Tamandua tetradactyla: one gene and its partners. The protein of the gene in region 3 purifies or fractionates together with the protein of the main gene of each other region. This does not show direct contact. Links are inferred from orthologs where the notes say so. Each region holds a gene or a part of one and is shown on either strand. Other genes may lie near its edges.

Region 1 (10,148 bases), on a different chromosome or scaffold from region 3:
ATGCCTCACAACTTCATTCCTTCTTGAGGTGGCTCAGTAGTCCACTGTATGTATACCCCATAGTTCCCTCTTCCATTCCTCAGTCGTTGTACCCTTAGACTACCTCCATTCATTGTAGGTCATGAACACTGTCACCAGATACAACAGTGTGCAAATGTCCATTCGTGTCCCCACACTCAGCTCCTTCAGGTATATACTGAGCAATAGGGTTTCAGTATCATACAGCAAACCCACCCCTAGCTTCCTGTGGAACCACCACACTGTCCTCCAAGGGGCATTTCCCCATCAAGTGTGAATAGGCACATCACTTTCTACACATTTTCTCTAGCTGTTCATTTTTAAATAGTTTTATTCACACATCATACAATCCAGCCGAAGTGTACAGACATGCCTTTGCCACCATACTCTATCTGAAGACGTTTCCTTTTCTTCCGCAAAGAATCCACACTCCTTTTCAAATCCCCCTGCCTGTTGACATTTAGTTTTGGCATAATGCTTTTGTTACATTCATTGGAAGCATATTACAATGTTACTGTCCAACTCATTCTTTATCAGTCCAATTGTTTAAATGTTCTCACTTGAGTATACTTGAACTAATATATTTCAAATGATGTCGTATAATGGTTCTTTTCCTATGTTTGTTTTAAGAATTATTTGAAGATCATACCAAAAACCCAGGTACTTTGAGAATCAAGAGAAAAGCACATGAAGATGGTAAGAGCCTGAGAAATGCCAAGTTTTGCCACATTGAGAAAAACTTCTGTATCTTTTACTGATAAGAGATGCTTACTCTTGTCCTTGACAAATGAGACTAGATATATTGCTTATGAACTGTGTGAAAGCATACAATCCTGAGAAATGGTTTATCTTATAGCTTATTAAGAATGAAAGTGATAGTTAATGGAAACTTTCTGAGTCAGAAATAAATTTCTGCACAACTATGCATTTATCATGAGCCTTTAAATTACATTTTATAGTAATTGCCATCTGTTCTAGTTTGCTAGCTGCTGGAATGCAGTATACCAGAAATGGAATGGCTTTTTCTCTACTGGCTTCCTTTCATGAAACATCCCGGGAGGCATTTTCCTTCTTCATTTTATTTGGTCGCTGGCTGGTGGACTCTCTGCTTCCTGTTGCTATGTCATTCTCTGCTCTCTCAGACTCTCCTTTTCTCCAAAAAGTTTCCTCTTTTATAGGATTCCAGTAAACTAATCAAGACCCACCCAGAATGGGTAGAGACACATCTCCACCTAATCCAGTTTAATAACCATTCTTGATTGAGTCACATCTCCAGGGAGATAATCTAATTAAAGTTTCAGGTATATGGTACTGAATAGGGATTAGAAGAAACGGTTGCTCCCACAAGGCTGATTAGGATTAAAACATGGTTTTTTTAGGGTACATAAACCTTTTCAAACCAGCACACCTTCAGAAGTTTGGGATATAAAAGGGAAAATCCCATAAACTAATAAGCACTGAATTTTGGTTTTCTCTAAGTTAGTAATGAGTACAATATTTTACTAAGTTTACAGATAAACTAAACCCCAAAGTCAACATAATTATGTGAGCTATAACTCTAAATTTATGTATCATCACACCACAGAAGAGGTAAGGAAATGTTACTCAGCAGTATAGAAGAAAAAAGAACTAGATTGAGAATCAGTTCCCCTCTGTATCTCCAGGATAATCAAATTTTAGCATTTTTTAGATATTAGTAAACACAAAGTGAAGCATTCAACAAAATTTCATAAAGTGAGCACACTCATGTAATCACCACCCAAATCACTGACAAAGATTACAAAACAAACTGAATTAAAACTCTAAAAATCAACAATTGGAACAATTATCATGGGCAGTTATTAAAAAGGAAGATATCCTCAGCCTTAATTTGACACCCCAAAAGCAAGTTTTCTGAGAACCCACTCCCATGTTCTCTAAAACACTAAATGAATGAAAATAACTGGAAACTAATCCCACAGAGGTTTTTTTTTTATCTGAGTGCATCTTTCTGTCTCTTTCTCACAGGTGTTTCTCTAGTGACGATTTCATGTACTCTTTTTGCAGAATCAGTGTCTGTGTCTCGTAAGAAAATTGCTCCTGAGATCATTGCAAATCAGTTTCCTCAAGTCGTAACAGAACCAAAAGATTCTACTGGAAGTTTCTGCAGACAGGAAACCCAGTACACGACCCAACTGTATGAGGTAAATAGCCAATTTTAACCTAGAAGACATATGAAAATGGTCATCAGTTGCAGGGTTCAATTCCTAATACAGAGAAGAGATCCATTCACTAATAGGACCGGTATTCTTATCTTCTAACCAAGGAAAACTAGGTGATTGATAGGATAAATCTGAAAGATTTTGTAATTCTTTTTATGGAATCTTCAAACCTAGTCAAACTAGGTCATTCTAGTCTCCATACAAAGTGGCTGTGGCTTAATGATGAAACTGTCTGATCTACAGGAGGTGTCCAGTTTGTTCATGTTCAAAACTCTGCAAAACACTGAGCTGATGTTTTCAGGGCCAAAAATTAGCAGTTGGTGATTATATGAATGTGGTATGCCGCCCCCCCCCCCCCCACACACACACACAGCTAGAAGCAGATAAGAGAACAACTAGTTAGTTTAACCTGAAAATGTAAAGCTAAAATTTCTAGTGACAGAAAGTAGAGCTGTCAAATCTATAAATAGTCGGAAAGCTACTAAAAAGCAATAGTTCTGGCTGAACCCATCTGGATTAAGTATTGTAGCACATGTCGTGTAATTATCACCCTTTTGTATTTTATATGAAACATTTAATATTACAACTTTCAGGTATCGTTTTCCCTGAGACTGATATTTTTTTTTCTATTGGATCATGCATAAGACAAAGACACAAATACAATGCAAAAGTGATAGAAATTCCCTCCTTCTCATTTCCATGTTTTAGGAAGATAATGCATTAACAGGCTAATTCCTTCATAACAAAAACAATCATACCTTGTTTTAAGACTAACCATTAAGCTAATGGGGGTGAAATAGGCTTTTCTGCAACAAAACACCACCTGTTAAAATGTAAAATGTATATAATTCTACAGTAAATTAAGAAATGATAACCTATGCAGGCTTCCAATTTTGATTCAATGTCATATAAAGACTTAGTTCTTAATCTCTTTGTGGCCCCTGCTGTTTAGAACAGCAGATTTTATCTTATACACATGAGGGAGTTTCCCTCTTCATCCAAAATCATGAATTGTTTTTGATTTGTGGGAAGAACCAGTTCTCTATGTGTAGCTTAATGATTCCAGGACTGCATAATGGAAATCTTAAAAAGCTAATAGTTTTTTTGGGCACTGTTGTTGAGATACCACAGGATGAATTTACAATGCCAGTTTCTCAACCATGAGCAGCTTAAGAGAATCCTTTCAGTATTGCTCTACTGCCAGATAATCACATCATTATTGCTCTTATCTTGTATTATCTAACCTCAATTTTAAAACCCATTATAACCTACAAACCAAGGATTTTCCTAAGCTGAGTATAGAATTCCAATTAGTGGCAACAGCTAACTAAAAAAAAAGAAAACTAGCTCCTTTTTCTACAGGTACAGATTTAAATGGGAGAAATTATTGGGAATGAAAAGAACTTTCTGAGTAATTTTTTTAAAAAAGCAAATATAGTTGAGAAAAGAGTTAAAAGGTCAGTTCATATATTTTCCAAACCAGGCAACTCTACACATCACTTTCTTTTGTACACCACCCCTGCCCCTCATGGCAGAATCCAGAATAACTTTTCTTAAGAATGTTATAAACTATTTAAATTGCTTACTAGTTACTCTTGACTACCACATAAATGGATCAAGATTTCTATTATGGTCAACTCAATTATCCAAGATTAGAGTTAATTGAGTTTTAAAAGTTTCTGAATTATTCTCAGCTCTTAGTAAAAAATACTCAAAATGCAAAACTCAAATTCAAGTATTTAGAACTCTGAAAACAGCAACAAGACTACTTTTAAGTTTGGTAAGGGAAAGCTAATCATTTGTAATGCTGATAAGTATTTTCAGTTCTTCAACGTTCTAGAAGTTGCTACTGTATTGTCTTAGAGAAACTTTTTAATACTTTTATGTCAAACCTAGGGCTATATTTTTCACTGCAATAATTAATCGGAATTGTTTATATCAACTTCCAGTTAGGTCAGGTAATAAGAAATGGAAAGATAATGGGAAGCAAAATTATTTTTTTGAACACAAAGGGGTCGCCTGATTTTTCAAAGTCAACATACAAAAGGACTCCTCCCCCCCTTTTTATAGACGGGAGCTAATTTTTAGGCATCTTCTAACTACTAACTTTTTCACTATCTAAAAAGTGTTGTAGAATCTGCATCTGCCATCACTCCATACAAGCCTAAGGCAGAAGTAGCTCCAGACGCTGGGAGATAAGAACCCGCAAATTGCTGGGAAGTACATGGTCCCTGCTAGCCCAAGCAGACAGAAGCATTACAAACTGAGAGGTGCACAAAAGGAGGGCGGGGAGGCCCGAACCCCTAAATAGCATTAGAGGTGGGGAGCAGGGCAAGCTGCCAGGGTGGCAACGTAGCCTTCGAGAGCTCCTGGTAACTCAGAGGATGCTAAAGGCATGTACCAGTCTCCCCACCCCGAGGCGCGTGCGAGGTCGCCAAGTCAGGCCGCGGGAAGAGGCTTGAGTAGATGTAGAAAGCACACATGCCGCCATCCCCACTCCGCATCCGTTCAGCCTCCATCTCCCACGCTGTTGCTTACCTGTGCTGCAGACCCACAAGTCCCAAGACAATCACATGCGGCACATCTAGCTGCGAGGGCCACTCTCCTGAGGCGATGCAGCCAAATACGCCACATTCCTCTCGAATCCCCAACTCCTCCAGCTCCATGTCGCCGCGAAAAGCACGTGGAAGGACCTGCCGTCCAGGCCCAGGTTCAAGCGCCAACCAGCAGTCCCCTCGGCCGGTGCGTACCAAACGATCACGACAGCGGCTTCCTTCCCAGAGACTAGACCCTAGCTACTGCGGCGAAGACTAGCGCGTCCTCCCGCCTCCCCCGTCCCGCCCCTCCAGGTCGACCAATGAGCGGAGGCGCAGGGGGAGGCTCCCGGGCCCAGAGGTGGAGTCATAGATTCTGTGGGGTGGAGTCAGTCCTCCGCAGGAGATGTTAAAGAAGATACATTTTCTGCATGTGAAAATCTTTGTTATTTTCCATGATCCATAATATGGCTGATGAGGACAGCGGAGATTTCGTAATTTCTCTACCAGAAGATGTAAACCTTGTATATCCTTTTTCAGATGCTTTTCCCTAGCCGTTACCACTTGGTATGCTCCAACCTATGATCCTTTCTGGTACACCAAGAAGGGGTCCCAGTGAGCGAGCTTTGTGGGGTGGGGCGGGGCTGCAAGCGCGCGCCACTTTATCTGTTTCCTGGAACAGCACGCGCGCTGCGCCGGGGGCAGTCTGGAGGCGGAGTCGCGTCCCTGCGCCTGCGCTGCGGGTAGCCTCCTGGGTAGCGGTTTCTCCCGAAGTTGAACTGCACCTCCGTCTACGGATACCCTCTGGGTTTGACTGCCGCTCCTGTGTTCTAAGTGAGCACTTGTGGGCGCGCCTTGATACGTGGCGGGGAAACACGCGTGGGGGCTGCGCCTCCTTTCCCTTACCCTTGCTGATCTCTCCTTTTTTTTTTTTTTTTTTTAAATCAGGTTCCTGGCTCTGTTTCTAGTGCAGTTGCTCCCCGCAGCCCACTCAGAATAATGGCGACAGCTGACGGTAAGCAACAGGCGTTGAGGTCCAGCGGGGACTGCTAGGTCCCGCCACCCCCTCCCTGCCCCCAGCGCTTTCCCGGATGCCAGCTTTCAATTCTCCGGCTCTGTGCAGATGTGCGTGGGCCCCGCGGGCCCCACAGCAGCCATCCGGGACCAGGGTCCGGCATCTTGGTGGGTGCGCGGGGCGGGAGGACACGTGGCTCATGCACGGTGGAGACGGCGCCACTCAGCACTGCCTTCGGTATAGGGGAAAAGTAGCAGAATAGAGAAGGGGTAATTAGCACGAGAGGTGGCCAGGCGTTGGAGAAGAACGGGGAAATCACATTTGTAAGTAATAATTAAAAACTATTTTGCAAAATGATCTTATGAAAAGTTAGTGTGACCCTTGAAACCAAGTCTTACTTCTCTTTTGTTACTAGTTGAACCTTCTTTCCGAATCTTTCTGTCTGGATTGTGGCTTTTTTTTTCCTTTTTTGAAATAGATTTTGATGCTGTGATGGCTTTGCCCCAAACTCCTAGGCCAAAAAAAATTCTTGTTGCACTTTAAGTTTATTATATTTACTTGTCGCTAGTCATTTTGTCCCTGAGTGGTCAGACCCTAAGGAAAGGTAGTTCTTGCCATTTATGATGAGACAACGTTGGTTTTCCCACACATCTTTTTCCAAATAGAAAACTTCAATTTAGATCAAAAGGACCCAACGGGGTCCTGTGCTGGCAGCTACCGGGCATGGGTCAGGATGTGTGCAACTATGGGAAGTTCAGTTACCACAATTGTCTACAGACGAGAGAACCTAAAGGACATTAACAATGGATGGAATTGGGAGAGTTATCAAAAAGATACCATCACGCCTGATGGTGTAACAGATTTTAAAAAAATCTTTCTTTAAGAAGAAAGTTCTTAAGCAACATGATGGATTCAGAAGCCCATGAAAAGAGGCCACCAATCATAGTATCTTCAAGATATATCACCTCATAGTACAAATGTTTGTGAAATGAATCATTACTTATGTGGGTGCTATGCAGCTTTCAACACTTTTCCTATTCAAAAGGTCCACTTTCAGCAACGACTATATGGAATCAAAACCCAGAATGCAATACTTCAGTTGAGGAGGGATGGATTCCAAAACTTGCATTATGGAATCCTTCCCCCACTAATGCAGAAGACAACTGCACTGGCCTATGTGTTTGGTCTGTATGAGGATATTACTTTTTTTCTCTGTAAATATGTTAGTACCCCATGACTCCAAAGTTTGTAACTCAGAGCATAGCATGGCAGCCGTACTTGCAGGGACAACAGAAGCAATTTTCACTCCATTTGAAAGAGTTCAAACATTGCTTCAAGACTACAAGCATCATGACAAACTTATAAACATGTATTAAACTTTCAGGTCACAGAAATCCCATGAAATTGGAGAGTATTATCAAATTTGGGTGCCCAATCTTTTCTGTAATGGATTCAGCATAGTCATTTTTTTGGCCTTCAAGGTCTTATTAAGGACTATTTACCTACTGCAACTACTCATAGTGCTCATTTGGTCAATGATTTTATCTGTGAAAGGCTATTGGGTGCTATGTTGGGATTCTTGTTTTTTCCACTTAACGTTGTAAAGACTCACATGCAGTCACTGATTGGTGGGGAATGTCAGTCTTTCCCTAAGATTTTCCGAAAAATCAGGCTAGGCAACTGACAAACTTTTTCAGAGGTGCCCATCTGAATTACCATCTGTCCTTTGTGTTTTGAGGCATAATCATTGTGACTTATGAGTTCATGTTAAAGGTTATATAAAAGAATCATTGGTTAAGTGTTGTTTATCAACCAAATAAACTTAAGAAGAATGCAGTTCGGCCTGATTACTGATTGGCCACATACCAGTTGGTATCTTAAGTTCAGGGTACAGTGAACTGTGGGCAGAACTGTTTGAGTACTACCACAACAAAATAAGTTTCCAATAGGAAAATTAAAGTTTTGGGTTTTTTTCATCTTTACCAAGAGCTTTAAGCTAATGGTCTGATTAACAGTTGTGTGTCTGATGGCGTTTGACAAGAAGCCCCTAGTCAAGATGATTCTATTTTGCCTGCGATGCCAGAGGACTCGGGTTCGATTCCGGTGCCTGCCCATTTAAAAAAAAAAAAAAGATGATTCTTTTTCCCAAAACACTCTGTCCTTCTGTAATGAATTGTAAGTGGCTAGTGAGAAGCCAGAGAAAAGGCTTTCAACGCTCCATGACTTCTTAGGCTTCTGTAACCCATTTTTTGCTTCTGTGTTCTTCAGAGATGTTGCAAAGGATAGGGATAGTCTTCACATATACAGTGCAACATAAGAAAACAACTTATTAGGTATAGACTTTTCATGGTAAGTCGCTTATATTAGTTCTGAAAATAAGCAACTATTGAAATATCTTGACTGCTTTTATTTAGACATGATAGAATAAAGTAGCTGATGAAAGATACTATTTTGCTTTCTGAGTTAGAAAGGTTTCCGTTTCATTCAGAATATGACCTTAAACCCTTCTAAAATGCCCTTATATTGATTTCATTTATTTTATTGCCCAAAAGGTGGGGGCTTAAATTTTGTTATAGGCATTTGATCCTGTTAAGTTTCATATTAATTGCATATAGATCAAACTCTGGTTAGCTATGCCAAGAGGCTTTGATTGGTATTTTTTTTCCTTGAAAAGTAGTTTGTCATATTTAAGTAGTATCCAATGAAAACACATCCATAAATTTTTTATTGTAGAAGTCTGTTATTAATAAACAGCCCAGTTTTTTATTTGTTTTTCTACTTTCTAAATGTTATGGGGGAAAAAAGCACAAAATAGCTTCCACCTCACAGAATTAGCTATCTTTTTATGTTATTCTTGGAATAGATGATTTTAGGATTTCTTGATATTTTGGGAATCCAAGTTTACAATTCTGTTATTAAAATAATCAGAGTCTGAAAGCATCAAATTTACTGGAAGAGTTCTTTTCAATATTGGGAGTTGGTAATAGCCAGGTGGCACACATACTCCATAACGGATAAAAATGTATTTGTCAGAATTTTTAGAGTATTTTTCAAGATGAAAAGGCAAAATGACTCATACAATTATTAGATAAATAATAAAATGTGTGAAATATCCTGGAGAAAAGAGTTATCACTTCTTAAAAAAATCCACCTCTATAAATGTTGTATAGTTAGGAGTATTTTCTGGCATCTGACATGGCATAGAGAACTTAGACTTCTTATGAGTTTTTCAACATTCTAGATAACTGCATATAAATGTGTAAATATACCCACCCAAATAAAATCAGGGCCTCAATAGCTTACTCACATTATCAGCATATAGTCCAAAAAAAGCTGTTTACCCCTAAATGCAGTATTTTCCAACTACAAAGGATTAAGAAACAGTATCAAGCATTTGTCTGGCTGTAAAGAAGCTAAATGGCTTTACAACAGCTCTGTTTAAATAAAAGTGTCATGCTAAAAACGGCAGTTTATTTTTGAAACCAAGATGCGGATTTAGAGATTTCTGAAAACAAAAGTTTGTTACCAAATAAATCTGAATAGCATCCTTTGCCCTATTAGAATGAGGATTTGAAAGGAGTTGAGTTTAAGAAATAAATGAGGAAGGCACTGTGGTTCCCAACTCCCTTCTTCATACCTGTGTGTCAGATCATGTGCAGGCATTTCTGGGTGGCCCAGTACATGCAGTGAATTAGCTGGAGGTGATGCCTGACCTTGGGAATGAACTCCACTGGGCCTTGGTTCTGTGGGCTTCCTTTATTTCTTTTTTTGTTGGCCATCATCTTTTTAGAAAACTTTCATTATAGGGATGTATAAAACACAAAATTTCTGATTTTAGCCTTTTTTTATGTGTATACTTCAGGTATTATATTCACAACGCTGTGTTGCGATCACCACCATCCATTACCAAAACTTCATCACTCTGCAGTACTTCCTTTTTTCTTTAAAGTCCCCAGATTATAGAAATCTAAATTTTAAAGTACTTTCAAGAAATACAAGAGAATTCTAAAGAGAATGCTTTGATTTCTACTGTCTAAAATATATTGCATTTTGGGCAGGCCATCGTGGCTGAATGGCAGAGTTCTCGGCTGCCATGCTGGAGACCTGGGTTTGACTCCCAGTGCCTGCCCATGTTAAAAAATAATAATAGGGCGGGCCGCGGTGGCTCAGCGGGCAAAGTGCTTGCCTGCTATGCCGGAGGACCTCGGTTCGATTCCCGGCCCCAGCCCATGTAACAAAAAACGGAAAAACAAAATACAATAAAACAAGAAAATGTTTAAAAATGTTTCCCTTTCTTCCTTCCTTCCTTCCTTCTATCCTTCCTTCCTTCTCTCTGTCTTTCCTTTAAAAAAAAAAAAAAAAAAAAAATAATAATAATAA
Region 2 (11,088 bases), on a different chromosome or scaffold from region 3:
TGCGGGGAGCGGGCGGAGCTGATGTGGGCCGTGATGCAGCTGCCGTGCATCTTCTCGGCATAGCAGATCCAGCCTGAGGCAGGGGACAGGCGGGGCGCGGTCAGCCGCTGCGAGGGCTGAGGGCGGCTGCCCCCGCCTGCCTGCGAAGTGACATGACATTCTGGGGGTGGACCGGCTTGTTATAGGAACTAGGATCACACGAAAGAACACTCCCATCATCTTGTCGCTGCCACGGGCATTTTTAGCACTCCACGTGAGCGTGGTTTCAGCGCAGGACTGAAGTGAGTGACAGCTGAGCCTCGGCTCCCAGCAGCTCCTCTCCCGGAGGGACCACGTGGTGCCCGGATGCTGACAGGAACCCTCACCCCATCACCTGTCACCCCTCCACCTGTTCTGATCTGTTGATGTCATTTCAAACTTCAACTTCACTTTAACTCTAGTATCGTATAATTCCAAAGAGCCCCACGGCTGTGAGCACACCTGGGCAGGCGGAGGCCAACACGGGCAGGGCCTGTGCAGAGTCAGCCTGTCTTCGGAACCGCTGCACGAACTCCCGCTGGCTTTCGATGAGGCTGAAGTTCCTCGAGAAGGTGGTATCAAACACGTAGTGCACCCCTGGGAAGTGGCATCTAACTTGACCCATGAAGGGCAACCAGGACACAAGGCACCCCAACCCAGAGTCCACATCACTAGTGCCTCGGGCTCTGTGCCAGCCCTGAGAGGAGGTGCCAGAGGGGCTACCAGGAGGGGGGCTGCCAAGTGGGGGGGGGCTGCCAGGCGGGGGGGGCTGCCGGGTGGAGGGGGGCTGGTAGGTGGAGGGGGCTGGCGGGTGGAGGGGGCTGGCGGGTGGAAGGGCTGGCGGGTGGAGGGGGCTGGCGGGTGGAAGGGCTGGCGGGTGGAGGGGGCTGGCGGGTGGAGGGGCTGGCGGGTGGAGGGGCTGGCGGGTGAAGGGGGCTGGCGGGTGGAGGGGGCTGGCGGGTGGAGGGGGCTGGCGGGTAGAAGGGCTGGCGGGTAGAAGGGCTGGCGGGTGGAGGGGGCTGGCGGGTGGAAGGGCTGGCGGGTGGAGGGGGCTGGCGGGTAGAAGGGCTGGCGGGTGGAGGGGGCTGGCGGGTGGAAGGGCTGGCGGGTGGAGGGGGCTGGCGGGTGGAGGGGGCTGGCGGGTGGAGGGGCTGGCGGGTGGAGAGGGCTGGCGGGTGGAGGGGGCTGCCAAGTAGAGGGGCTGCCAAGTGGAGGGTGGCTGCCGGCAGAGGGGTGCTGGCCTGCCCTGAGAGCAGCCCAGGATGCCTAGGTTATGGGGCCCCTGCAGGTACTGAGCCCAGTGCTGCTGGGCCTACCAGGGACTCCCCTCCTTTATGTGGGCTCCTGGTCTACCTGGCAGCTGGCCACACCCTGCACAGTGCCCGAGACACCGGCAAATGCAATCATGTCAACTCAGTGCCCAGCTGGTCGTGTGCCCTGACGACAGCTGAAGAAGCACAGGGAGAGGGCGGGTCCAGCCCTGTCTCTCCTGCAGGGCTCTGCTTGTGAAACAGAGACTCCCAGCTGAGGTGAAAGCCAGGCTGAAGAGCTCTGGAGTCTACACTCAGAGCTGAGCACCCGTCAGTGGCGCAGGGGCCGGAGGAGCCCCCACCACGCCAGGCCTGGCCGCCCCAGCACAAGTTGCACACAGCCGGGCTCCAGCCTACCTATTTTCTTAAAGAATGCAGTTAATTTCTCTGCCGTGTCTGTTGGATTCAGCTGAAATCTCGCCGCCAAGGACGCTCTGGACTGCGGTGAGACAGAAACCACCACCAGTTTGTGCTGGGCAGGGGCTGCCTGGAAGGCAAGGGGATACATCCACTCGCACCCCGGGAGAAGACGCACCGTAGAGGGTACGCGTGGCGCCCTCGAGGCTCGTCATCGTTATTGTGCTGAAACCCCCACAGAGCGCCGACAGACAGCCCGCTGCGAGTCCCCCATAAGGCCCCGTGTGCCGGACACCCAGAAATGCGGGGCCTGCGTCCCTGACAAAGCAGCCATGGCGAGCAGGGCAGGGTCACGTGAAAGCAGAGTCTCAGACCATTTGCCACTTACCTTATTAGTCTCTAGAACTTTCCGTAGCTCTTCGTGGCTCTGCTGTGTGATCAGGATGCTCTCGGCCGAGGTGACGCAGCCGCTACATGCCAGGCAGTCATTCAGAGAGATCTTTGCCTTCTCCAGCTTCTGGGTCCCTCCGTCCTGCCAAGGGGCGAGAACCCAGTCCAGGAAACTCCTTTGCTCAGGGACACGAGTCCACAGGAAATCTTTATTCTCTTGCCTATAATGCTACTGACAGTGTGGGTGCTGGCTGGCTCTACGTACCGTGGAATTTTTGAAAATTAAATGTTTGTAACAGAACCATGTACGCATGTTCTAGATTTCCAGTTATTAAATCATAATGCGGCACAGGCTCAGCGAGCATGTCACATCACGTGGAATAAGGCTCGCTGCCCACTGAGGCCCCACTGGCAGGAAGGGCCACCTTGCCCATGGGATCCTGTACGGGCCACTGTGCCCAGGTAGCACACCCCTGGGGCTGAGGGACAAGGCTCCAAAAGGGAGGAAGACGGGGCAAGGGGTGAAAGAGAGACGGTGGGCGGGAGCCTCGGCAGAGGGGCAGCGGTGTGCAAGGGAACCCTGGGCACTGGCAGACTTGGCGAGTGGGACTCTGCCAGCTTATGGAGGGGCAATGGTGCCAAGGGAACAAAAGACACGAAACGATCCCAGCCAGGGCCCTGTGCAGGTCCAGGAATGGTTGGAGCCGGGACCCGGCAGGCTGCAGGGCTGTGTGCAAACCCACGGAGGCCCCCAGCCAGGTCCTCAGCCTGGTCAGCCCCTTGCGGCAAAGCCGCAACCTCAAGTCGCACTTGCTGAGGGCCCCAAGGCCCACGCGGGGCAGCTGCGCTGAGTGGGCCTCTCCACGCTCCCTCCATGTCTGGGTCCCCAACCCAGGAACAAGCTGTGTGGATAGCAGGGCCCAGCAGCTCCTCCCCTGGCCCTTCCACTTTGTTCACGGGGACCCCTCATGAGCTGTCTCTTACATCAATGGGACTTGGTCCCCCAGACTGGCCCAGGGTGGGGCAGGCGCCCCTGTGCGGCAGGTCACCCTCCTGCACCAAGGAAACAGCCGTCTCTCTCCCTATAGGTGTGGGCGTTTGCTGCCGTTCTTTACTGGAGACCCCTCCATCTCCACAGCCCCCCACCCCCCCGGGGAGGGCCCCTCGACCAGGGCCCTGGTCCTCGGCTGGGCCGAATACCGCAGCACACCCAGCTCCTGCGGTCCCAGGGTTGCCACAGGTATCCCCCAAAATCCAAACAGTCAGGGTTTGAGTTTGTCATTCCTTGATTATAGAGAGAGTAGGTGTTCTGTGAGAACCACAGTCTGAACTGGAAATTTTTATGCAACTAGAACTCAGAGAGATGGAGGAAGCCAGGAGCCACCCCCTGGCCAGGAGTTCCCGCCGCAGCACCTTGCTCAGCCTGGGTGTCCCCTGTGCTCTGTGCTCCGCCTCCACCCCCAGCTTCTGTCCCACATCCTCGCAGCCCCGTTGTCCCCACCGCTTAGTAAATCTGACAGTGAGAAAGGACCAGCAAGCTGGGGAAATACCCACAGTCACTGCCCCTGTGACTGGGTGAGGTAGAGAAAATCACATTTCCGGTCACTTGGGCTGGAAACAGGGTGAAGCCCATGTTTCTTACTTGATTAATTTGGAAGTAACTGCCATCATCATCGATGTGAATCTTGGCCACACCGCTTCCTGCCCGCTTGTCCACCTTCACAGGCTTGATGCATTCCTAATCAGAAGAGACCCAAACCAGGGGTCTATGAGCTGAGGGGCCCAGGGAAGAGGGCGGAGCCTTCCCCAGGTCACCACACGGCCGGCTGTCCCACCACCCCACAGATGAGGGCCCTGCCCTGCCACACAGTTGTGAGTGTCAGCCACCTGCCCGAGTCTCATGCTGGGCACGCTTTTCTAGCATCCTGCTGTTCCCAAAAGTCACCCATGGGTCACTGGCTGTCAGGAAGGCCAGTGCTAACTGCACCTACAAAGCAACTCCATCCAGAAACAAACCACCGGCCCTGACCTTTGCCCTTTCCAAGCACAAACAGGAGATGGGGTCACCTGGCTGCTGGGAGGAAGTCAAGGGTTCAACAGGGACTTCTGGCCTGAAAACCTTTGGAGGGCCTTGACGCAAAGTTTACTCTTCTGTCCCTCCCTCTGAGTTCTGGCTCCCTCATTTTTATGTGAGAACTGTGCCAGCCACTACCTCCCCCAAGGTGACCAGCTCCAGAGAGCCCAGGCAGGCGGCCTGTCCGGGTCACCCCTGCCCACCAGCTGCACCCTCCCCCAAGCCCCTCCCAGCTGCTGGTGTCACAGGCAGACACACTCAGATAAGGTCGCACCAGCTCCCGTCCTCCTGGGGCCCCTGGTCCTCTTTGGGTCACACCGTGACCTTTGCTGCACGACCACGGTGCTCCCGCCCGTCCCCCAACAGGAGGGTGGCCGCAGTGCCTGTGTACCTGTGAGCACACTGACTAAGGGATTCAGGGTCCCCACCCCACCCCGGCCCGCGCCCCCCAGCTGGGTGCTACTCCCTGCGGCGGCACTTCCCGGCCGGCCCGAAGCCAGCGTGGTGACAGGCCCTGTCCTGTCCTCACCACCCACCACAGGCCAGACCCCAAACCGGCCGTCCTGGACGCCCTGGACACAGTCACGGTGGTGGGAAAATGTCCTTTTGGCCTTGAGTTCCCTGTCGTAAGAAGAGGGCCAGGGCGCCGAGGCCCGAGCGAGGGTCCCTGCAGGCCCCGAGGGCAGGGTCGCTGGGTTTCCCAGGGGCATACGGTGGGGCGGAGGGTTCGGGACTCTCACCCTCGCCCGGCCCGCCCCGGCCCACCTGAGACGGCGCGATGAAGTCGTCCAGGTCCGTCAGCTGCAGCGCCCCACTAAAGAGAGACGCCATGGCGGCCACACTGCCGCCAGGTGCCTCGCGAGAGTGTCGCCAAACGGCGCGAAAAGACGAGGTGGTTCCGCCACGCTGCCGGAAAGCGCCCCACCTGGCGCATGCGTGCCTCGCCCCCGCCGACGGGCGCCCGGAGCGGTGTGCGCCCTCTGCTGGCGGGCCGAGTGCGGCGACTCTGCTCGCGGAACCGGACCCTGGCGCGCCCCGGGACGCGTGGTCCGGGCAGTGGGGCGGAGAGGGCAGCGCCGGGCCGGGAGCCTCCGCCTTCACAGCGAGGCTCGGGCTTCCCCACCTCGTTCGCTCGCCCGGCCTTTACCTGCTGGCCAGGTGCCAGGTCCCCAGGTGTGGGAGCTGGGGACAGCGTCCCTTCTGCCTGCTGTCCATGCAGCCCCGGAAGCCGCAGCAGCGCCGGACACCGAGTGGGCCCCCGTGTGTGATGAGAGCGGTTCAGGGCGCGTGAACAGCGCGGGGCCCAGGAGCAAGGGCTTGCATCCCGGGCTCCCTGCAGCGCCCCGGCTATGGGGTCCCTGATGGTCGCGGGGGTCCCTCCCGGAGCGCCAAGCTCTCCTTCTGTTATTTTCCGGGCGGTGGGAGCCAGCTCGATTTCCCTGTGAGATTTCCTTTTCCTGTATGCTGTATGGCGGGGTCACATGCCACGTGAGAATCCTGTTCCTGCAGCACCATGTGTTGACTTTTTTCGTTCGTTTGCTCATTTGTGTTTGGGGAGTGCATGGACTAGGAATGGGACCCTGGTCTCCCGCATAGCAGGCAAGAATCCTACCACTGAGCTACCCTCACAACTCCTTCCCTGTGAGGTTTTATAACCCCAGACAGGACTTCTGCCTTCCTCGTGCCCTGATAAATCCCACTGACGGACGCCTCCCGCCATCCCCCCAAACACCGGCCTGTTCTCTATCGGCTGAGTGAAACAGGCCGTGGGCTCTTTGTTCCAACACAGTAAATCCATTCCCAGGTTCCCACCTGCTTGAGCCTTTGCTTCTTAAAGTTTGTGTTGTGGTAACATGTGCACAACACAAAGCTTCCTATCTTAACCACTTTCAAGCATCCACGCCCCATCATGCCGCATCCCGCGTCCACTGCCACGCGCTGCGGCTAACAGACCAGTGTTTGGGGGGATGGAGGGAGGGGTCCGTCAGTGGGATTTATCAGGGCACCTTCCATGGGCAGTCCCTGCCCCGTGGCCCCGCTCCTGCTTTCTGTCTCTAGGAATTTGCTTACTCTAAATATTTCCTGGGAGAGAAAGCAAATTTATTCTGTTATGTCTGGCCCTGCAAATGGATTTGAGTCAAGATTTGTCCACGTGCAGCGTGCATCAGAACTCCGGCCACGTTTTGGCTAAGCGGCACGCCATCACTCGGACCACATGGTGAAACATGTGTCGTCACCACCCGGGCTGCTTCTGCTCCCGGCACCTGTGCCCAAACCGCAGGTCAGGGCCCCGTTTCTGCTGGGGCAGCGGGCCCGCCCTCCATGCTTGGGACCCCGTCCTGCCCCTCTCCCGGGCCCCAGAACCCTGTCCAGTCGGGCCTGGGCCTGCCACCGCCGCACCAGCTCCTCAGGGCCGGGAGACCGCCAAGCCCCCCCACCTTCAGGGGCGCTACCTGGCCAAGGTGTGCAGTGTGGCACCTGAATCTGAACTGTGCCATGACTATTAGGGACACACGGACGCAGACAGAGACTTTGTCTCGTTGAAATGCTATGGAGTGAGTTTACAAAAAAGCGTGTGTGGGATTGGGGGTGGGTGGGGGTCTGGTTGGCTGGGCCAGGGACCAAAGATGAGGTGGGGCACCCCAGGACGGGCCCACCTGGTGTGTGTGGGGGGCAGGTTCCCACGGAGCCAGGGGTGGGGGGAGCCTGGGGCAGGAGGAGCAGGGTGGCGCCCATCACTCTTTTCCCCAGAAACCGAGTCTGTAAAAGCAAACGCAGGGTGAGTGAGCCGGGCCGCCACGCCCCTGCAGCTCCACACCCCCAGCCAGGCAGCGGCCAGCAGTGGCCAGCGGCAGCCCCGCCACCCCGAAGGCGGCCAGCAACATCGGGGCCCATCTTTGGTTCAGAAAATCCGACCGGGCCGTTTCTGCCCACACATACACACATGCATGCCCACACACACACACGGTTGCACAGGCACACGTGCACACACACACGTGCTCGCACAGGCACACACCTGCTCGCATATGCACACACGCGCATACACAGTGCTCACACATGCACACACCTGCTCGCACATGCACACACGCACACACACGCAGCCCCAGGCCTTCCACCTATGCAGCCCCTTCCCTGGAGAGCCCAGGCTCTTGGCTACTTCACATTCGTATTTTGCAAATTGTTTCATCATCATCATTAGTGAATATTTACCGCCTGCTTCCCGGGTGCTGGGCTTGGGGCCAGAGCTGCGAGGGGGTGGGGACTGTGCGGGGCCACTTTCCCTGAGCCGCCGCCAGCGCCCTCGGGCCCCTGCTACACATGCCCTGGGACCCACGCTGGTCCAGAGCGGGCTGCCCGGCCCTCGTGGGGGCTTTGTGGAGCTGTGCTGACAAAGCAGCCACGAAACGGCAGCCCCGAGCGTGGGGACGCGTGGAGTTCTGACACCTGTGTGGCCAGGTCCTCTTCTGTCCTCTCCCGACCCTGTTCTGGCCAGTGTCCCTGTCCCTCCCTGTCCCCGGCTGTCTGCCCCCTCACGGGCTCCACGTCCCCGTAAGGCCGGGCCCCTGTCCTCTCCTTTCTCCCGAGGACCTCCTGTTAGATTTAGGGCCCCGCCAGGCATCTCAAGAGCCTTCCGTGCAGCTGCAAAGACCCTTTTCCCAAATGGGGTCACTCCCCCAGGGAGACAGATCCATCCACCCCTGCAGCCCCCTGACGTCTGAGACGGGCTCTGTGTTGTGCCGAGGGGGTCTGCGTGCTCCCGGCAGGGCCACCGGGGAGTCCGCATGCGGGGTGCAGATGGGCAGGCGCGTGGGGTGCCGGCACCTGGGCAGGAGGCGCTGCCCTCCCCGAGTGGCCTTCGTGGGGGAGGCACGGCCGTCAGCACATCATTAGCAGCCACTCCCCAGGGGCACCCCATCTTGTCAACAGGTGTAATCTCCGGGCACCCCAGAGGCTGCTCGGGTGCAATTAGCCACTAATGAGGCCTGCGGTCACCCGGTGCAGGGGTGAGGAGCGATGGCTGTCGGGGTCCCCCCTCCGTCCCCAGCCAGGCAAGCCAAAGGGGGCACCAAAGGGCCGTCATGGGGCTGCAGCGGCCGCACGTGTCGGGGGGGCGCACAGGGCCCCGGGGGCAGAGCAGCACCCAGCCTGGGCCCCTCGCATGCTGTCGAGGGCAGGACCTATAGATCTTGGGGTACAAGCAGGTTGTCCGGGGGCCCCCAGTACCCCCTCGACCCGTGTACACAGTCCAGGAGGCCCTGAGCTGCCTTCTCACCCCCGTTCCGTACTCAGCCCACCGGACTGACAAGGGGCGCTGGGGCAGAGCCTTGGGACCCCGGGGGGTCTGGGGTCCCGTCCGCTCTCCTGCCCCCTGGGGCACAGGGCCCAAGGAGCAAGGTGACCTGAGGTCCTCCCCATGTCCCTTCCATGCCCCCCAGCCCCCCCCAACACCGCTTCCTCTGGCCTGAGCCCCAGAAAGGGAAGGTGGAGCTACCAGAGACCCTGGGGTCCAAGCAGTGGGACGTTCGCCCTGCCCGGGGCCACGGCAGCCCCCGCGCACCCCAACTTGGTGACCTGAGCCTTGTGGGGTGACGCCCCGTTTCCCCAGGGTCTGCTCTACCCGCCGAGCCACGGGGGACGGGGGCCCTGGCTGTGACCCCACAGTGCCCCAAGGGGCCTTGGTCTGTTTGTGGGTGGCGGCCCCGGGGTTGTCCCCCACCTGGCTCCCACCCACATCAGGGGACGGCCTCTCTCGGCACTGGGTTCACCCCGCGCATTCCTGCAGCCTGAGTTGGTCACTTGGCCCAGCCTGCCCTCCCAGGGCCCGGGGCTGGGGGCGAGGAGAGGACCCTGCCCGGAAGCAGCCGGCACCTGCTCCAGCAGGCTCCTCCTGGACCCCAGGCCCAACTAGGGAGCAAAGGGGCAGCTGTGCCCGGGCGGTGGGGTGGGAGGATCCCGGGGTCGCCCTGTCCCGGCTCCGGGTGGCTCGTGGGGGCTGAGCGTGGCCGGGGGGTTCCGGTCCCACTTCACCCGCAAAGCCAGGATGGGGCTGCCAGAGGCTGCTCGCCAGCCTGGGCTCCGGGAATGCAGATTCCAGGGCCCACCATGCGCCCCGGTCTCTGCGGGGCAGGTGTGGGAGCCGGGTGGCTTGGGGGCACCCTTATCTGGCCCCCTGGGAGTCTTTGGTGGCCGCTGCTAGGTATCAGGAGCTGGGCACAGGGTCCCTGGGTCTCGAGGGGCTGGGGACGGTGGTCCCAGGTCCCCCTGGGTTCTGGCCTGGAGGTCAGCTTCTCTGCACTCGGGGCCTGGGGTGCAGGTGCCGTCCCCAGGGGCTGCCCTGTGCCCAAGCCATGTGGGTGGCACCGGCCCAGACCTCTCGACTGAAGAGGCCACTGGGGAGTGAAAACACCCCCCTCCCAAGCCCGGGGAGGGGACAGGTAGGCCGGGGTGCAGGCCGGGGTGCCTCTGCTTCCCCAGGCTCAGGTGCCCACCCCTTGCCCTCCCTGCAGGTAGCCCTCACCCCAGAGAGCACGTGAGGTTCCCCAAGGTGGCTGCTGGGTCTGGCCACTGTCCCCCATGTCTGAGGTTGCCCAGGGCTCACAGGTGGAAGATGCCCCCAGCCCCTCCCCCGAGGGGGGCCCCAGGGCAGTGGCCCCCACCCCGCCCCGGGCACTGCCTGCCTGGCGGGATTCTGGGTTCGAAGGAAGCGCCTGTGGGGGGTAGAGAGGGGACCGTGTAGCCTCAGCGCCCCTGATGCAGGCAGGGAAACCGAGGCAGCCCGCGCGGGAGGTCGCCCTCCTCGGGTTGAATCGGGTGACAGGGTGGGTGGGGCCGTGCGGCAGGGCCTCGCAGCTGGGGGCCGCGGTGAGTCAGGTCTTAACCCCGGCCGGGCTGCAGCTTCCTGGAAAGGGCGGGCGGGGCCGGGGAGGCTCGAGCTGCTCAGACTCTGTCCACGCGCCTGCCCAGGTAGCACCTGTGTCCCCCTGGGGGCCCTGGGACCTCTGCGGCCCCCCAAGACCCCGGGCCGGCCTGGGGAGGCGCGGGGGTGTGGGGGCGAATCTCACCCTGCCGGGGGCAGGGTCTTCAGGGTCGCCGACCTCCACAGGCCATGGCCCTCCAGACTGCACGACTTGCCCCGGGGCCCCACACGACCCCCGCCCCCTGCAGCCTTCTCCTCCTCCTTCTCAGCCTCGGTGAGTTGTGGGTGCTGTGCTGCAGGACTTGGGGAGACCCCAGCCTCCCCGTTCCCACCACGGCTTCCCCCAGCACGGGCAGGTGGCTGGGTTGGGCAGTGACGGGCTCAGACCAAGTGGGGATGTCTGTGGGGCAGTTGTCTGCCCCCCTGAGCAGCTGAGTCACAGGAAAGGACATGGAGGCGGGGGGGGGCGGTTTGTGACTTCAGGGACTCAGGGACTTTAACTCTTTACTTCTGTTCCCTGCGGGGTGTACACAGGGCGGGAGACCAGGCCTAGCCCCATCCTCCCTACCAGGGCAGCTGCCCCTGGAAGCCCCTGGCCCTTCCTTGGGACTCACACCCCCTCCCCCTGCAGGGTGGGCATTGTCTCTGGCAGCCCCGGCTGAAGAGACAGGACAGGTAAGGGTCCCCCCAAGGGCATGGTGGGGGGCTTCCCAGGCCTGGGAGGGGGTCCCAGCTGTGCATGGCGATGGGGGATGTCAGCACGTCCACATGCAAGCAGGTGCCCACGCAGCCACATGGGGATATATAACTAGCTGTGCACTCCAGTTTCCAAAATACCCACTTGCATAGGTGCAGCTGGGTCTGAGGGGTATGGCTGGGTTCAGAGTAGCTGGGCCCAGGGAGTAGCAGAGCCCAATGTGTAGCTGGATGCAAGAGTAGCTGGATCCAGGAATAGCCACCCGTGGGTCTAAGTCATAGAAAGGCCTGAAAAGTAGCTGGACTGAGGGAGCTGCTAGGCCCTA
Region 3 (10,261 bases):
GAGCAAAAGAGTAATAAAAACCAACTTCGAGTTTACGGCATCTTTCTGACTGCTACGTTGAAAATAGCCTTGTTGAGAGACAAGGGAGGAAGCAGGAAGATCAGGCAAGAGGCCGATGGTAGCTTAGGTCAGAGTGAAAGTGGTGGAGATTGTAAGAAGCAGTCAGGTTCTGGACATATTTAGAAGGTAAAGTCAACAGGATTTATTGATCAAATGGGATGTGGGTTGTAACAGAGAAGGAGGAGTCATAAATGAATCTAGCCTTTTGGGGGTCTGGGTAATTGGAAAGATCAAATCACCATTAAGATGGGAAAGAGTTTGTGAAGAGCAGGGGAGGTTGAGGAATTGTTTCCAGACATGCTAAACTGAAAAGCCTTTATATTAGATGTGTTGAGTAGGAAGCAGAATGTACAAGGCTTGGAGTTGGAGAGAGTGGGCTGAAACTATAAATGTGGAGTTACTGGCATATATAATCATATGTAATTGTATGTCTAATAAGACAAGATTTATATGTATAACCATGCATAATTTATATGACTGTGTTTATCATTTGTCCTCCTAAACTGTAAGCTCCATGTAGTCAAGGACCATGTCTGTTCACAGCCAGCTTGGTGTCTCTGGCATTCAGTAAATATTTACTCAGCAAATGGAGAAGTTGCCCGATTAATCCCTCAAGAATAGCTACCATGGCCCACACACGAGAAGACTTCCTTGCAATCACAGTGCCAAGCCCAACCAGTCCAAAACAGAGCTCAGGGACTGTCCACCCCCAAGCTTGGGATTCCAGAATGTAAGTGGATATGCCTGGCACATCAGAGAGTCAGATATTTGGGTTTCAGCCCTGCCACACACTCAAAGGGTGGAGCTGGGCAAGAGACTTGCTGTTTTACCACCTCTATTTCTCCCCTAGCTGGTTGGCTGAAGGGCTGTTTCACCCAGTTCATGGGCAGAGATAGTGATCTACCCAGGGTATGTGTATGAGGTGGTAGAGACACTCCCTCCCACCCCCCCACCCCACCAAAAGGAGTAACTCCCCAAGTATTCTCTAAGGCATGCAAGGGCCACCTAATCCTTCCACCTAATACAAGACTCCATAATCACTGGGCGTTGTAACTCTGCTTCTCCTGTCAAATAATTAAGAAGACAAAACTAAGGCCAAAGGGTGACTGTAAAAGTCATAAGATTCCAACTCAATCCATTCTAGTTTTGGACAGCTGCCTTTGTGAAGGTGAAAAAATGATCTTATAAAACCCCCTCCCTTTCCAAGATATTGAAAGTGATCCAGAGAGATTTGATGACTTCCCAGGGTCCCTCAGCAACAAGCTGAAGACTGGAACGTAAGTTCTATCTCCCTTTTGAGGGTTTCTTCCCATTTACTAGTGGTAAAGGAAAGGTCAGAGTCATAAGTGTTAACTAGAGGAGTTTTAGACAATCTAGAATTAAACTTCAACTTAAAATTATGTCCTTCTCAAAGGGTAAGTTGCAGATGTTACAAAAATGCCAGGTGCATACTGTGACGTTAAGGATTTCTTCTTTATACCCAAACTTCTGTCACCTTAGAGTGCCCCCTTTGATTTGGACTTTATGAATAAAGCTATTCATAGTAAGATCCACATAAGTGAAATAATAATATACCAACAGATTTTAAAATGCAGATAAATACTTCAGTAAAATATTTACATGAAAAATACAGATGTAGGATGAAGTCAGGTTTAGCTTTCTAAATTCAACAATTATTGAGGGCTTTCTCTGTACAAGTTATTGTGCTAAATGCTATGTATACGTATGTGTATGTGTGTATATGACTATTTGAGTAAGTGACTGAGAAAGAGGAACAGAGACACACCAGAATAAGACAGAATTCAGGTTTCAAGGCTTGCAGTGTAGTTGCTGGTATAAGAATGTAAACATTAAAAACCTGACCAACAACTTAAAACCTAAAATTGTGGAACTGTAACCCATACCAAACTCTGAAATCTGTTCTACAACTAATTGTTGTGATGTACTTTGAAATTTATTGCTTTGTTTTTACATATATGCTATTTTTTTTTATAAAAAAAGAGAAGGAAGAGAAAAATAAGGAAGATAGGATTTAACAAATGAATATGACTGGTGAATCAATATATTGATATTTCTTTTGGTCTTCAGTGTCTTGGAGCAACTAGAAGAAAAAATGAAAAAAATACCAAACTTTAAAATCTTTTCTATAACTACTTGTTAAAATGCACTGGTAAATTTATTGCTTTTCTTTGTATATATGTTATTTTTCACAGCTAAAAAAGAAACCCACATAACCAGTAATATGGAGTAGATTATTATACAGTAAGTAGCATAGATAATGTATCTGCAGGAGTTCTTAGAAGAAGCAATCTCTTCCACTGGATGTGGGAGGAGATTTGTTAGGGAAGGTGCTTCAAGAAAGATAAGGGATTTGGGGTAGACCATGAAGGGGAGAACGACTCTTGATAAGATGAGGTGGGGAAATGAAACAAGTACAAGCTGGTGACCTTAATGTTAAGGAAGAGAAAGAAATCAGGTCCCAAAAGGAAGGACTGGGTCAGACATATCCTTAAAAGTTTAGATTATTGTAAACAATAGGGAGATGCAGAAAGATTTTTCAACATAAAATTAATTACAGGGTTTGGAATAGGTCAATTTAACAAACTACTTTTGGGGGAACTTCTAGGTATAGACACTCTGCTTCGGATGAGTGAGTGAAGATGAACTTGCCTTTGGTGGGTAACTGACTTCAGACTGGGAGAGAAGCAGGACTCGAGGTGACAGGACCTTGCAGTAGAGTGGGAAGGGGCAGGTTTGTAACTCACATGAAAGGAAGAGTCAGCAGTGACTAGCTGGCTAGGAGACAAAGACAGTCAGTGGGGGAGTTTTTCAAGGTATAATTACGTAGCTCAGAGAATGTAAGGGTAAGGAAGGGAAACAGATTAAGGGGGAAGAGATACAGAGCTTGGCTCTAGTGGTGCTGAATCTGAGGATATCTAGATCAGTGTCCAGCAGCCATTTAGAGATGTGGGTATGGGGTTCAAGAGACAGGTAACAGCTGAATATATAGCACAGGGGGAAAGCAATTATGGAACCAAATACGATTTCTCTGGGAGGGAGTATAAAGAGAGAAAAAACAATGTGAAACTTAACCATGAGTGTACCCACCTAGGAGATGCTTGGTAGGTAGGAGTAATCAAAGAGGAAAACCAAAATAATGCTAAGAAGGGAAGGGAGAAGAAAGTTTCAAGGAGGGGAGGCTGTCAGCAGTGAAAAATACAATGAAATCAATTATTAGGACTGATTAAATAAATAATAAATTGAAAGCACATAAATAATAAATTGAAAGAATGAATGAAAGTCCCTTGGGTTTGAGAATTAACTTTGCTCAGAAGAATGATTAGGGATGCCTTCCTATAAGAAGATTCCGATCTTAAGTTTTACCTTATCCTTCCTATAAAAACACATTTCTTCCTTCCATATGTCATCCGGTCCACTACATAGACATCCTTCCCTTCTTCCTCAGGTCCACCCCCCCTTCACTCCATTCTCCTTCCCAGGTTCCACAACACAGTAACACACCTACGGGTCAAAGAGAGGCAGGAAACTGCAACTAGAGTTTCCACTTCATTAACAACTTCAGGCCAGTGATTCCTCTTACAGAAAGGGATATGTAGCAATTGGGCCCAATTTGTATTAGCTGTGTGGCTTTGGGCAAGTTGCTCAATCTCTCTGGATTTGTGTTTTTGGATAGGGAGGAGGAAGTAGGTCTATCTGGAATCTAGACAAATTTCTAAGTCTACTATTTTATCATTCTCAGAAGATCCTTGCAACATCCTCAGAGAAGGAAGTGAGTGTCCGGGGCAAAGCGCCAGGATAGGAGGAGGGGTGTACCGAGAAAGTGAGAAGGCGCTACCCGGCCCTCCCGAATCGCGAAGAGATCCCCATACCAAAGGCTGGGAAGAATCCCAACAAACCCGAGGGAGAAATTCTCACCCCCACCTCACTCCACCTTTCCTAGATTCCCAGACGGCCGGGAGACTCTAAAAACCCTGCAGGAAAAATAAAGATTTCCTTCCCAGAGCCCTGCGCTGCTTTTGCAAGTCGGATTCGGGCAGCACGATATGCAGCCCGATAATAACAGTCTTTGGAAGGATCGACTGAGCTCGTCTCGCTCGCTCCGAGTTCTGGGGACGCCTGGCTGCCCGCGCCGTGCCCCAACCGGCCGGCGTCAGACCCCGGCCCGGGCTGCCAGGCCAGCGGCGCCCTCGCCCGGGGTCCTCCCCCCTCCGTCCGCCCCGCTGCGGTCTGCAAACATTTCCTGCCCCCACCCCCACCAGGAGCTTCCCAGTTGGAGCGAGTCGGTCTCGCAGCCGGGTCAGCGCTCGCAGTTGCCCCAACTCAGCTCCCCCGGCCATCCAGGACTGGGGAGGAGGCCCCCGTCCCGCTCCCGAGCAGCCATCGGGGGATTCCCAAGCGCCAGGCGCCGGGAGTGGTCTCTCGGGAAGTCCAGGGCTCCAGTAAGAAGGGGGGACAACTGGCAAGGTGCCCGTTGCTCTGCTCCCTTCCCTGTCATTACCTGCTCGTTTGCGGGGGTGTCCCGGGGCGGCCGGCCTCTCCCGGCGCTGTCTCCCCACGCAGTTGCCCATGCTGGCTCCTCAGCCGGGCCCCATCCACCGGAGGCGGGGGGGTGGGTGGACGGCTGCTCCGCGCTCCTGCCCCGGACCGCGGCGTCCCAGGTCAACGGCTCCTGCCGCCCGGCATCGGGCGCACCCCGATTTCCCCCCCGGGGGTGCACTCTGACCCAGCGCCGGCTTCGCCACAAACTTTGCGGGCGAAGGTAGAGGAGGGGGACGACTCCCCAGCACAGTCCACCAGGTGGCCGGGCCAGGGGGGCCCACGACGGTGCCCGGCGGGAGACCAGCTCCGCTGTAGAGGCGGAGAGAGGGGGCGGGCACCGCCGCAGCTACTCGGAGCTCGCTCGGGGCTCCCAGCTGGGGCCGGCCCCCCGGAGCCTGTCACTCACCTGTCTAACCCCGCCCCAGCCCGGCCCCGCTCCTTTCCGCCTGCTCGCAGTGCCCGCACCGCCACCGCCCGCCCCAGGTGCGCATGTGACCGACGGCACCGCCTCCTTGGGCCGGGCCTGATTTTTTCATTGGCTTCCCGCAGGGTGCATACCGCCCCTCGGCCCCACCCAGCCAGGTGCCCGCCCAGTCGCCCGTCTCCACGGGAACCGGGCCGGGAATTATGCGCCCTCAATGGCCCCCGCTGCGTGCCCAGCACCCGTCGCACTCCCCGCGCCAGCGCCCCTACTTCAGGCCCCGCCCCTCGGGGAGGGGCCGCCCCACCCTCCCTGGAACTGCCAGGCGAGGAGCCGGCGGGCACGTGATCCGCGGAGCGCTCCGCCCCCTAAGTCTTCGCCAAGCGATTGGCTCATGAAGCACATGCGCGGAGAGTCTTGTTTCGTGCCACCACCTACTTCCCCTCCTACGGTCACTAGTTCGTGTCATGGCCGCCGCCACCGCTTTGGAGGCAGTGGCGCCTACGGGCGCCCTGTGGGACCTCGTGCACGACTTTGTCGTGGGTCAGCAGGAGGGGTCTGCTGACCAGGTGGCTGCAGGTATGGCAGACGGCGCCGCGCGGCTTCCGCATGGGGTCCAAGAGGAGGGAGCGGCCTCCACACAGGGGGTCGGGCGGGAAGAGTGAGGGATAGAGGTGACTGTGAGAGACTGTCCCCAGGAGCACCGGGTGCTTAAGAGCCGTACCAAAATTGAAAGTTATTTGCATCTTCCTTAAAGCGCTTTTACACTCCTCGTCTTCCGTAACCATCTTCTGTGCAGGAGAGGCGGGGTTAGGATAATCATTACCATTTTACAGATGAGGAAACTGAGTTACAGCGAGAAGAGACTTGCGGAGTGTCACAGATCAGGCAGGTCGGGGAGCTGGAACTCGGCATCGGATGCTCTCACGGGGAAACCACGTTGTATCTAGGAGGTAGACGTGAGAAAATGCAGCTTCAGCGGCATCAGCACCAGTCGCGTGGAATCTTGGGAGCGGCGGGGCGGCGCCGGCCACCGACTGGCTGTAATTGGAGGGAGAGGAGGGAAGGCGTTCTAGGCACAGTTTGAGATGTTCAGTGTCCTCCCTCTGTTTCTTCGTAAAGTTCTTGATTAATTTGCTTCTCAAGTTTTTCATGTGCAGTGTGGTTTTATCTTTTCTTACATTTCCAGTACCTGCTTATGACCAGTTCAGCAATCTCTTGGTTCTGACAGCTTCCTAAGATTTGAATCAAATAATATTAGGTGTCTTTGGAATTTTAATACTGTGCTTTTGTAGAAGAAAATTTATCTACCAAAGCGTTACTGAATGTTAGGAGGCCTTCAGACCTCAGGCATAAGTCACAGAATACAAAATAATATTGTAGGTATCCGTAAGTTTGTATTTTAAAGGTATTTTTTGGAAATTTTGCATGTCTGGGGAGAAGTAAAGAACATTGCTTCTCTTGAAAACTGAGATACTAACTTTTAGAATACGTGAGAAATGAATAAATTGCGTCTGCTAAAAATGTAATGCTTTGGTTCTTAGCAGTATTCTGCTTTCATTCATTCGTTCCACCGTTACTGAACACGTTATTCTTCAAATGATGCAAAGCAATAGGAATATAGCTATAAATCAGTTCAGATTGGTGCCCTTCAGAAACTTATACTGCGGTGGGAGAGACAACTACGAACACAGTCGACCATAAAAAGGGTTCTAGGAGGTGTATTCAGATGCTATGGAAGCATCAGAGAACAAATGCCCCCTTCTGCCATTCCACGAAGCTTGACTTCTTACAATAAATTTAGTGAGTTATCAGTGTTGACAGTGTTAACGAGTACAATATGTGCCAGTGTCATTTTTCCAAGTGTTTTATTGTGAATTTTTTCAAACATAAGCAAAGTCTAAAGAATTTTATAAGGAGCCCACATACACTCATCACCTAGATCCTGCTATTAACTCTTTTTTGCCATTAACATTTTAATATACTTGATTGATCACTTATCCATCCATTTAAGTTGCAGATATCCATACGCTTACCCCTAAATACTTAAGCCTGCATATCATTAGAGTTCAGTATTTGTTTACAGTTTCTTTCTCTTTAGGTGAAACATTTATATCCAATTAAGAACACATACCTTAAGTGAACATTCGTTGCTTTAAAAAATGCAATCCAAACCCTTGTCAACATAAAACATTATACCAGTGTCATTTAAAATTTTTCTTTCACATTTATATATTATGAAACAATACTTTTGGATTTTTCAGGTTCAAAATATACTGAGACTACAATCTGATAAGAGACTGCCAAGTTTTACGTGTTTATAAATTTTTTTTTGTTATTGTCTGAAAAAAATGACCTAAACTATTGTCTACTTTAAAACAAGCTCAGCCCAGCCAAAACTCAGTAACTACTAAGCCTGTTGTACTTTTGGTCTCCTGACTAAATGAAGAAGGTTGGTACGAGGAGAAGTAACAGATAAAGTTGAAATGTTTGGTGTTTGATGGGATTGAATTATGCATAACATTGGATCCCAATCAGAGGTATTTAAATGACCTGTTGTAGGAATAGCGGTTGTAGATCCTTGAGCAAAGAAGCCGTATAAAGAAGATAAGTTTAGAGGTTTAAATTGGTATTCTCAATCTTAGATCACTGCCCTTTTTAGGGTTATTGAAGGCTGACAGTTTTGAAGCATCCTCAGAATAAGATGTGCTTTCTAATCCTCCAGCCTGTCAGGCTTTGTTAGTGCTTCCTTTTTAGCCACTCATAGCAGCAGAGTTTCCTACAATAGTAAAAGCAAAAGAAACATCCCCTCCTCACAAAGGCAGCTACTACCAATTTTGTCTTTGTCAAGAACCTGGTGGGTTCTTGGTAAAAATAGGAGTCAGTAATGCATTTCCTAGTATAACTTATGTGGACAGCTTAATTGAGTACATGGAACCTTGAGTAGAGCATGAGATTTTGTAGGTTTGTCCAGAGTGATGCCTCAATAAATCCCAGAAGGATTTGAACAGTGAATCAAAAAGTATTTGCAGAGTCCCCTTGGGGGAATGGTAAGAAAGGGGGAAAGTTCAGCTTCCCCAATTGGAGAATTCTTGATATTCTCACAAGCAGTGGGGACAACCAAAGCAATAGGCTGAGCCCCCAATCTTAGGGTTTATTCATATGAACTTAACCCTGCAAAGGATAGGCTAAACCTACTTAAAATTAGGCCTAAGAGTCACCCCAAGAGAACCCCTTTTGTTGCTCAGATGTGGCCTCTCTCTCTCTCAGCCAACAGGAGAAGCAAACTCACTGCCCTCCCCCTCTCTATGTGGGACGGACTCCCAGGGGTGTGGACCTTCCTGGCAACGTGGGACAGAAATCCTAGAATGAGCTGGGACTCAGTATCAAGGGATTGGGAAAACCTTCTCGATCGAAAGGGGGAGGACAGAAATGAGACAAAATAAAGTGTCAATGGCTGAGAGATTCCAAACAGACTTGAGAGGTTATCCTGGAAGTTATTCTTACGCATTAAGTAGGTATCACCTTTTTAGTTAATGCATAACAGAGGTTGGAGGGAACTGCCTGAAAATGTAGAGCTGTATTCCAGTAGCCTTGTTTCTTGAAGATGATTGTATAATGGTATAGCTTTCGCAGTGTGATTGTGTGATTGTGAAAATCTTGTGTCTGATGCTTTTATCTATGTTATGGACAGATGAGTAAAACATATGGATTAAAAATAAGTAGATGATGGGGAACAAATATTAAAATAAATTTAGTAGATTGAAATGCTGGTGATTGGGGAGGGGTAAGGGGTATGGTATGTATGACTTTTTTTCTGTTTTCTTTTTATTTCTTTTTCTGAATTGATGCAAATGTTCTAAGAAATGATCGTGATGATGAATATACAACTATGTTCATATTGTATGTTGATTGGTTTTATTAATAAAAATTTAAAAAAAAATAGGAGTCAGATGGCAAAAAGGTACAAGTGATGGAAGCGATATGACTTGGCAGCCTAAGAGTTAAAGGTCTCAGAGACTGTACTGCAGGTCCTCAGCCTTTGTTCTCACCTTCCCCTTCTGGACCTTTTAGTTGCTGTCACCCACCATTACTTTTCTTAAGCGTTTTCCTTCCCAGTTCCCTCCACTAGCTCCATCTAATTAAAGTTAGACCCAGCTTGATTGCCCTCCACCACCAATAGATGCTAAAGCGTTTCCTGATTACCCCAGTCAGACACCATGGCACCCTTCAGAATTTGTGTTGTACTTGTTTCTTAACCTCTTGTATACTTATTAGAAGACCTGTTTAGTATCTATTTCTGTACACAGCTCCATATCCTAACTTCCCATTCTTACCACCAGAGACTGCTATAAGTAGGTACAAAATAAAAAGTACTTAAGTGAATGGAATGAGAGATGTTGAAGGAAGAATCAGTGGGGCTTGAGGTATACAGCTTGAAGGAGAGGGAGGACTCCGAGATGACTCCTTGTTTTCAAGCCTGAGGATGCCAAGTGCTCTGTCCAAAAAATTGGGGGGTGGGGAGGGCAGGGGGACACGCTGAGGAAGAACCTGATTTTAGAGAATGTTAACTTTTGAAATGTTGGATTTACACAGTTGATGACTTGTTTTTCCCTCTTAGTTATTTGGATTTTGCTTCATTTCAGTCTTTTATTATTTTGTATTTTCCCATATTTGTAACTCCCTGAGGTGGACACTATGCCTGAAACCAAAAGATTGCTAAAGAACAGTAAAATATGCTTCTGAGAAATGTCTGTAGCACCCTCAGCAGAAAGAGTATTTTGAGAGCTTGATTGTAACCAAGTCCTGGTTGGGGTTTTTCTCTCTCTCCTGTTCTTTCATACTCTCATTGCCTGCTACTTCACTTTTTCAAGAGGTTGCAACTCCAGCAGACAGAGCTCTAATTGTGTTTTCCATGTCACTGCTCATATAAATGCTCCTTTGACTCCTCAGTACCCCTCACAAACTGCTGCCCTTCTGAGGAAAGTATGGGCAGTTCAGAGGTGCTTGTAGGCCCATTTTTCGAAAGCAAATCAGACTCTTCGGAAAATTTAGGCCTGCTTATGTACAGCAAGGAACTTATACTTATTTTTTTTCCATAAATGTTACCTAAGCTGAGCTTCTTTCAGAGCTTGGAAGACCAGTGAGACTGCCCCTAGGAAAATAACTCCTTATGGGCGACATTCATCCCAGGAAACCAAGTGCATAATTAACAGCATT

Evidence for each region. The genes of interacting proteins can lie anywhere in the genome.
Region 1: the proteins of MMS19 (region 3) and PPAT purify together in Homo sapiens (affinity purification with mass spectrometry; 3 studies listed by BioGRID and IntAct, with this or other methods). This does not show direct contact. The link is inferred for Tamandua tetradactyla from reciprocal best matches to the Homo sapiens genes MMS19 and PPAT.
Region 2: the proteins of MMS19 (region 3) and CIAO3 purify together in Homo sapiens (affinity purification with mass spectrometry; 3 studies listed by BioGRID and IntAct, with this or other methods). This does not show direct contact. The link is inferred for Tamandua tetradactyla from reciprocal best matches to the Homo sapiens genes MMS19 and CIAO3.

The regions. Positions count from the first base shown.
Region 1 is NC_135345.1:56,939,648-56,949,795, forward strand, and holds the start of PPAT (amidophosphoribosyltransferase), read right to left. Parts: upstream 5,009-10,148; 5' UTR 4,886-5,008; coding exon 4,758-4,885; intron 2,202-4,757; coding exon of another isoform or gene 2,065-2,201; intron 715-2,064; coding exon of another isoform or gene 649-714; intron 1-648. Other genes in the region: PAICS (bifunctional phosphoribosylaminoimidazole carboxylase/phosphoribosylaminoimidazole succinocarboxamide synthetase), read left to right, coding at 649-714, 2,065-2,201, 5,702-5,768. UniProt on the Homo sapiens protein: Catalyzes the formation of phosphoribosylamine from phosphoribosylpyrophosphate (PRPP) and glutamine.
Region 2 is NC_135349.1:56,646,362-56,657,449, reverse strand, and holds the start of CIAO3 (cytosolic iron-sulfur assembly component 3), read right to left. Parts: upstream 5,009-11,088; 5' UTR 4,981-5,008; coding exon 4,915-4,980; intron 3,814-4,914; coding exon 3,718-3,813; intron 2,218-3,717; coding exon 2,074-2,217; intron 1,816-2,073; coding exon 1,686-1,815; intron 616-1,685; coding exon 481-615; intron 74-480; coding exon 1-73. Other genes in the region: mesothelin-like, read left to right, coding at 10,256-10,340, 10,698-10,741.
Region 3 is NC_135339.1:58,805,185-58,815,445, reverse strand, and holds the start of MMS19 (MMS19 nucleotide excision repair protein homolog), read left to right. Parts: upstream 1-5,304; 5' UTR 5,305-5,508; coding exon 5,509-5,620; intron 5,621-8,311; exon of another isoform or gene 8,312-8,473; coding exon of another isoform or gene 8,474-8,555; intron 8,556-10,155; exon of another isoform or gene 10,156-10,261. UniProt on the Homo sapiens protein: Key component of the cytosolic iron-sulfur protein assembly (CIA) complex, a multiprotein complex that mediates the incorporation of iron-sulfur cluster into apoproteins specifically involved in DNA metabolism and genomic integrity.